Linked DNA regions of Danio rerio. The protein of the gene in region 1 interacts with the protein of each later gene in a pairwise test. Links are inferred from orthologs where the notes say so. Each region holds a gene or a part of one and is shown on either strand. Other genes may lie near its edges.

What was found. The genes of interacting proteins can lie anywhere in the genome.
Region 2: the proteins of map1lc3a (region 1) and retreg3 interact in binary tests that used the Homo sapiens proteins (3 or more experiments, as listed by UniProt). The link is inferred for Danio rerio from reciprocal best matches to the Homo sapiens genes MAP1LC3A and RETREG3.

The regions. Positions count from the first base shown.
Region 1 is NC_133186.1:28,686,340-28,690,364, reverse strand, and holds the start of map1lc3a (microtubule-associated proteins 1A/1B light chain 3A), read right to left. Parts: upstream 2,811-4,025; 5' UTR 2,730-2,810; coding exon 2,690-2,729; intron 1,042-2,689; coding exon 986-1,041; intron 1-985. Other genes in the region: dynlrb1 (dynein light chain roadblock-type 1), read right to left, coding at 3,612-3,655. UniProt on the Homo sapiens protein: Ubiquitin-like modifier involved in formation of autophagosomal vacuoles (autophagosomes). While LC3s are involved in elongation of the phagophore membrane, the GABARAP/GATE-16 subfamily is essential for a later stage in autophagosome maturation.
Region 2 is NC_133178.1:35,948,901-35,953,213, reverse strand, and holds the start of retreg3 (reticulophagy regulator 3), read right to left. Parts: upstream 2,801-4,313; 5' UTR 2,455-2,800; coding exon 2,210-2,454; intron 1-2,209. Other genes in the region: tubg1 (tubulin gamma-1 chain), read left to right, coding at 3,880-3,928. UniProt on the Homo sapiens protein: Endoplasmic reticulum (ER)-anchored autophagy regulator which exists in an inactive state under basal conditions but is activated following cellular stress.

The DNA of each region.
Region 1 (4,025 bases):
TTACATTATATGCTAAATGATTATAGATCAATATTTTCTAATCATTTAGCATATAATGTCAAAATGTTAAAGTAGAACATTAAAGTAGAAAGTTACTATGCTTTTTATGTACAGTGCTCAGCATATACGAGTACACCCCCCACAAATGTCTGATTTCAATTAATATTTTCTATAGGATACTGTACAATATTTTATTTGTGCATATACATTAGTTTATTCAGTACTGAAGCCATAGGAGCCTTAGGAACTTTTACAAAAAATATATACAATTTTGTTGAAATGTTGTAGTTTGTAATTTTTTTTTGCAATATTTTGCATTAATTTAAATATATTATCTTTTCATTTCTAAATATGTTCTGTGACTGAAATATTATTTTTAATAAAAATATCTGTTTAATTATCGGTTTTGATCAAATGCACCAATATATATTATCCATATGCACCGAGAAATGGGGAAAAAAATTTCGCCTCCAAAAATTTTCAAACTGGGGAGAGAACTGTATATAAAAATCACTTATACTGAATTTGATGCAGATGACAGAATGGAATGTCTTGTCTTTGAAATATATTTCCTAATATATTTCACTAAAGATAAAGATTACAATAAAAAATTAAGATTATTTCCTAATATATTTTGATATATTCATATAATGGTTTAGAGCTGTGGATACATAGAACAATGTATTTTAATATTACTTATTTTTATATTTCCAAGGTCTAGAAATCACACTTTAAAATGATTGATGCTTTGTTAAATAAATGCAGTATTTCTAACTGCTTTAGCTTCATCTTTTCTTTTTCAATAATTCTAAGTCACCCCAAGGCCCTCATAGAAGTTGAAGCCCATTGTTTTAGAGTAATAAATTTCAGGATCTTAAAAGAAATCCGGAGCTGACAGGTAAGTGACATCTTGAAAGCAATAAGGCTAAAGCAATAAGTCTAAATTCATTTATGACACTTGCATAAAACAAAACTAGTTTCTCACCGGAATTTTATTAGGATGCTGCTCTCGTATCTGCTGCACTTCCTTGCAACGATCAGCTGAAAAGACAAAAAACAAACAGAAATTTGGTACACTTCTGAATAATATACATTTTACAGTCCAAATTCAAAATACACAGTAAGTATATTTTCAAGACTCATTCCTGAAAACACTGTAATCACTGCATTAGCATTTGCTGAATTTGCTTATGTCAAACCTGTTTAGCAGAAACGCTCAATAAACATTCCTAAAAACTTGAGGAAAAATAATTGCGGATGTGTTGTTTGACATGCCCTACTCTACAAACCTATTCCACCATAATGTACAGTATAACAGACAAACAAACATTAATTTCTGTTAAAAGGTTTAATATCTTTTGTTATCACTCTGAAAGCTCAACAATGGTTAATCAACGCATTTGCATTATTTAAATAAACTACACGTTTTAATCTTGTAATTAAAATTTACAAGATTTGCATTTTTAGAGACATTGTCTGTTTTTATTCCTTTTCTATCATTTATTTCTCATCTGCTGATTATTTTATTAATTTATGTTAATATATTACATAGGCTATTTTCTATACATTTCTAAAATGCTTTGGCATTCGAGTTTGCTTTGAACTTGGAGTGAAAGAAGCAGATTTTACCTGTCAGAGGGTGCAAATGGCTCCTGAATAGTATAAAAGTAAGAGAAATAGTGGATTTTTTTCAACAGTCTTTTTACTTTAAGCCATTGAAAAGAAACTGTATAACAATGTCATAATAAATAAAATTGTAAAAATTAACTTATGTTTTGTTTGTCGAAAATCAATATCTATTTAAGTGATGATGTGGGTAACTTGTGTTTCATTCTGGCTACCACTGCAAGTATATTTCAAAGTAAAACTAAAAAAAATCCAGCTTGCTTATCAGGGTAAGCTTCCTAACTTGTGTGTCATTTTTACTGATGTCATGTCTGGGTCATCCGTGTCAATTGTATAATCCCAAAGGCTGGACAAATATAAGACTGTATGCAGATCATATTGACCCGGACTCTTACAGATGTGTTTGAAACAGCAAATCTATGTTGCACTTGTTATGTTTAGGAAGATTATGCAAGGGTTTTATGCTCCTCCCTCCCCACACCCTGTCCACAGTCTGGACTATGAGAAAGAGCTCATATTACAGCATCATATCAACAGCACGTGTACAGTCCATCCTTTCCTTCAATGTTATTGTCAAACAATAAATATTCTAAATATATAAATGCATCATTTACACCAAATGTAACAGAAAAACACTACTGTCAAAAAAAAGAAATGTTGATCTCACATTTTCACAAAGCTGGTAAACAACACATTTATCTAGCTACATATCTGTAACTATATGTCATTCATCTATGTTTCTAAGTAAAAAGTTAAATATAAGGTTATATACGTATTTACAAACACAACAGTTGTAAAAAAAATAAAGCTGATAAAATTTAAACACAAGGCCTATAAAAAAGCCCAAGCTAGCTTACTGTTTAGCAACTGACCTCTGTCGGTTTTTGTTAAAAACTGTCATTTAGACTTTAATATTTATTTCTATAATCGTCTCATAAGCATTTAGAGCTTTGTAGAGGAATGTAAACAGTGTGTCACGCAGTTGCTAGCAGGCTAGGGACAAAAACAAACCTGATAAACAAATACACTTCGGCTGACAAGGCACGAATAAAACTCATCTTACCGAAGCTCCGTCGTTGTTTGAAGGGTCTGTCGGATGGCATAACTGTGCTTGAATGTGGTTAAAAGTAGTTTAAAGGGTTTGCGTGTTATTATATGCTGAATTGTCGGTCGACTCGGCTTCTTTTCGAGCTCCTGACTCACTGTAAGCAAAACAGCTCGAGACAATATACTAAAGCTCGTGACGTCATCAGATTTAAAGAGACAGAGTCCTCTTTAAATGAATAGTTTAACCAAAACTAAACATTTACTCAGCATTTGCTTAACCTCAACTGGTTTTAGACTATTATGGGTTAATATTTCCTATTAAATGAAATAGAAGATATTTTGAAGAATGTTGGAATCCGGTAACCATTGATATCCATTGTAGTGGGGAAAAATGCAAAATTAAGTCAAGAGTTTTCAACATTTCTAAAAAATATTTTCTTCTTTTGCGATCAATTTAAATTCAAACAGGTTTTTGCAGCCATTTACAAGAATTATTTTAAACATGAAATCATTTTCAATTCTCTATATAAACCTAAACTAAATTTATATTATGGCAAAAAACAAAGCACCTTTTCCATTCAATATGAATACACACAGCCACAAAAAGTAATAAAAGGAAATACATTGTTGTTTTATTGTCCTGTTAGCATTCACAAACAAGTACAGTATGTAATAGTGTCATGTTTTTGCTTTTTGATGATGAACAGTTTGGAGTACTTGCAAAAATGAGAATGAGAAAACAATAAATTAAGTATATGGCAAACTATTGGAATGATAAGCAAGAGCAGTACAAACCATATTTTTATAATAGGATAAGAAGCAACTTCCTGTAATGTTATGTGGTTAATAGTACTATATAAACCTCACTGAAACATTAAATGAAACACTTTTGGCCTGTAATTACAGAAAAAAAAATACTTCAGAAGTACTTAGAAGGACTACTCTGTGGGATTTTGAATGACGATCAGGAAATAGTCCTTGTCTGTGGAGAAAACAGAGTAAATATATGATTAATTTCTGATCATTACAATTAGTTGATATCAGATTTATATAGCACATTACAGAATAATACAACACGCAAATTGGTTTTTGTAAAGATAGACTTGAATGTACAACATTATGGCATTTATAACAAAACATCAACCCCTACCCTAACTCTAAACCTGTAAACAGTAATGTAAAAATATTAATTATTGTTATACAGTGTCATTAAAATTGCTGCTATATTGATGTGCATATCGCACTTCTAGCCAGCAGTGTATCCTATTTCTATCTAGACTTTACCCTAAATCAGGGCTTTTCAAAATAAGGTCCGGGGGACCCATTCAGTGAAATGTTCAGAGAAAAGGCTT
Region 2 (4,313 bases), on another chromosome or scaffold:
CCAATTTTGTTTTGTTTACATTGCATTTGTTTACAATGCATTATTTAAAATAATACTGTGACTTAATTGAATGGCAGTTCTTCCCACACATAGACTTTACTTGGGCAGGCTGCCCAGGTATATTAATGGCCGGCCAAGTATAGTGACACATTTTTTGTACGGTTATTAACATCCTTTTACAATTTTTTTTTAAACATTTTTGTATTTATGAGGAAAAAAGCTTTGTTATAAATGTGACGTCTCTCCATTATGGATGTGAAATTTGCACTTGTGTGACTTTAGTAAATCAAATATAATTGTTTGAGAACATCGGCAGAGACATTTCTGAGTATTTTTAGTCAATACAAGCCTACACAAATAACTTAGAAAGGGTTTTGCTATTTTGGTAAAAATATTTTTTTAATGACAAGGTTGACATTGCATGGAATTGCTCATACATCACAGAAGTATATAGGGTTCTTTTTGATGTATATTGATCTTAGAAACACAAATGCTAAGTATGTACTGAAAGCACATGGTTTGCCAAGTTAGGATGGCCAGTAACAATATTTAAGGCATGAACAAAATCACACCAGGCCCATCCAACTGGTTTGGGAACTAATATATATCCTACTGATCTCTCTGTGTGTGTGGCAAATGCTCTTTGATGATGATTACATAAATAAATCACATGACCTGGAAAAAGATTTACACCCTGTTTGAGTAGAAGGTTGAAATGTCATGAGACAGTGGCAATACTTTATTTTGGAACAGAAAAAACTGTAAGCAGAATACAATTCTTCCATTTAGGAACCTAACAGATGCTACTACCCACATCACGTACATTGATTGCTTTGCATTTAAAATACATACTTAAAATGTGGAAGGAATGTTATCATTCAGGACAAAATAAAACAAAAATTAACTTATCAAACACCCATTAGTTTTAATTAGTAATACTCATTCATAACATTAAATAACTATAGTTTTTATAGTAAATCATGTACATTCAATTATATCAACAATTAAATATGTAATTTGAATAACACAATTTGAACTAATTAAGCTAAACTAGCCTTAGTGTATGCCAATATTAGGTATGGGACGATAACCATTTTCAAGGTACACCGCAGTTTGGAAAAGACAAGGTTTTAAAACCATCAAAATTTTCTGCAATGTTGTTTCTAAGGTACGTGTACGATTTTTTATTACTTTTTTTTTGTTTTGTTTTTTAAGAAAACATTATCTCCAGCAGAAAATATATTCAAAGATGCTGTTTTAAATTGTTGAAAAAAAATCTGTTTTTGAAACTAATTAAGACAACAGAAGTTAAATGTATTTGAACTATTTAACCTGACATATTTACTACTCCAAAATATCATAAATGTCTCTTAAAATTTATTGTTTAAAGGGAAAAGAGTTTTTGTTTTTTTACCCAGAAATTTAAAAAGAATATATTATAGAGCAGTAATCACAAAACCGCATAACTGTGATATTTTTATCCAAGGTTATCATACCTTCAGAACCTTATACTGAGTATGTGCAAGAGTGTGTGTGTGTTTCCCAGTGTTGGGTTCCAGCTGGAAGGGCATCTGCTGCATATAACATATGCTGGATAAGTTGGGGGTTCATTCCATTGGGGCGACCCCATATTAATAAAGGGACTAAGCAGAAAAGAAAATGAATGAATACCACAATTAAGTGTGGAGATCTGCACAATCTCTGTCATAGTGATCTCCTGCCTATACTGACAGTAGGAAGGGGAATACAGGCTATTCAACAACATATAGAGTACACAAACAATTCAACAGATTGTTCTCAGAAAATTCTTGTAAACATATCCTAGCTTGACATGAATTAGTAAAATCATTGCATCAAACTCAAAGTTTAGCTTAATAGTTGAACTTGAATGTTAAACCTAAACTCAAAATAACAAACTGTTGCACGGACAGCATTATGTTTACAGTAGCACCACCACCAACACAGCCAGAGCTCTGTCTAAATATAGTCTCCTAGCCTGACCATCATCTGTTTCTTATCTTAAAAGAAAAGGGGCAGAAGTCTGGAACAACCAGACACGTATATACATCCATCGAAAACAAGAAAGAACTATACAAGATCCTCAAAAAGCCCATTAATAATGTAAACGCTTCAACTGTATGCACTGGGTTGTAAACAGAGCCCGAGATAACGTCAGATAAATCCATGCAGATAAAGCTCATCCACTCACCAGAACGTGACGTTGGCAGCCGTGTACAGTAGGACGCTGTGAAAGGGTCTCTCCCACAACAAAACGGACTGCAAATAGGTGAGCAGGCGCTCGTGTGGCCCCAACCGCTCCAGCAGCGTTGTTTTGACCGCGCGGAGCTGCTCGGATGTCCCACCGGAGCACGAACCGCTCCGGAGGCCGCCGCTGGAGCGCAGCCTCCCTGCACAACCGCTCGCTTCTGTCGCTTCTTCTGCCCCACCCGCCATACTCAACGTGTCTCTAAAAAAAGTGTCTGTAGATAAACCAACAAAGTGTACAATAATGTAACGCTAAAAACAACCCTCGTGCTAAAGAAACGGTTTGGTTAGCGAGCTAGCCGATTAGCCTGAAGCCGCTCAGGGCAGAGCAGCAGTGGGCAGACCTCGTGCGTTCAAGAGGCTGCCGTTGTTGACACGGAGTGACTGAGAGTTAAAACCCATTATTGGGCACGAATGTGTTGAATTAATACGTTTAAGTATCAGCTCGGCTCGAATTTAATGTTGTCACCGTGCTGCTGTCATATCTATGGTCATATCCAGTCGTTGTTTTGTCGCGGGAGCAACAGCGAAGACTGACGGGAGGACGGGCTTGATCTGGCCAATGGCAGACCAGGATTACAGGCAGAGCTGCTAAACAACAACCAACACCCACCACTGAAGTAAAGGCTCTTACTTCACATATCGTTCAGACAACACTTACAGATTATCTCCTTCCATGCTTTATTCGCTTATTAAACTTGTTTATGCATTACAGTTTGATGTTAGTTTTTATAATAAATAAAACAGATGTATCGTAGATGGATATTACTAGACTGTGTATGCTTGTAAATTGGGGGATAGGCGAATTAGATAAATATTTTATGTATTTTAAAAAGGAATATATAAATATTTTTTTATTTTAAAAGTCAACATTCATTCTTCAGGAGAGATTTAATTTCAGTTGCAGTAAAAAACTATAATTCTAAAAGTTTTAGGACTATTTTTTTTCATAGTACAGAATGCAGTTTACAATCTCATTTATAAGACAGTAACTAAGAATAAGATCTAAAATACATATTTTAATTTAATAAAACTGCTTATGCGTCTTATATTACTACATAGATAGAGAAAAAGACACATTCCTTTTAAATTCTTACAAAAAAGTTTAATAATTTCTTTACAATTTACAAAATTTATAGTTATTTAAATATATAAATAAAAATAATAATTATATGTATATCCCCATTGTAAGTATCTTAGGAGGTTAAAAAAAAAGTTGCCCGGAGAAATGTTATAAATAAACTGCATTTTAAACCTGACCAGAAATTCTATGCTTGCAAAATTCTGCGTAACTGACGCGCAGCTTTGATGTTGTTCAATATAAACGCATACATACGTCTTGAAATACGTCGGTAGTGCCCTCTACGTTTATGTCTTTTTTCTTTTACATATTTGCTGTTTTCCATAAAAACGTATTTTGTTCCATCCTTACAAAGATTGATCTAGTTAGATTACAGAGTGGCTTTAAATTTGTAAAGTTGCCGGAGTTTGCGCATGCGCAGTGGGCGTCCGATAGGCCGTTGCTGTTGGAGCGGGAACACGCATAGTGGTTGACTGACAGCAGAACGTCTCTCACATTTACTGATCGTACAGCTGAAATAACAGCAGGACGGGATGCCTCGAGAAATCATCACCCTGCAGCTCGGACAGTGCGGGAACCAGAGTGAGCCATTTTCCTTTATTAGGCTTTGTTTGCCAACAAGAGCCATCTTTACATAAACAGTGTACGTTAGCTAGCTAACGTTATCCAGCTAACGTTATCACACTGCACAGCTTTAAAACGACACCATAAATAAGCAACGTAAATAAGATCAGAAGATGGTTTGATTGTTTACAGTATTTTTTCAGCTGCAGGAAGCCAAGTACTTTCATTATTTTCCATTTAACACTACTGTCTGTTCTTTGTTTGTGTTTCCTAATCAATAAAACTAAACGTGGTAAGTTAACGTTATGCTTGCTTTGTAGTAACGTTAATTAACATTAGTCAATTTAGTCACATTGGCCGTTTTAGAAAGCGGGAATAGAGTTGTATTTATTTATAGGTGGAG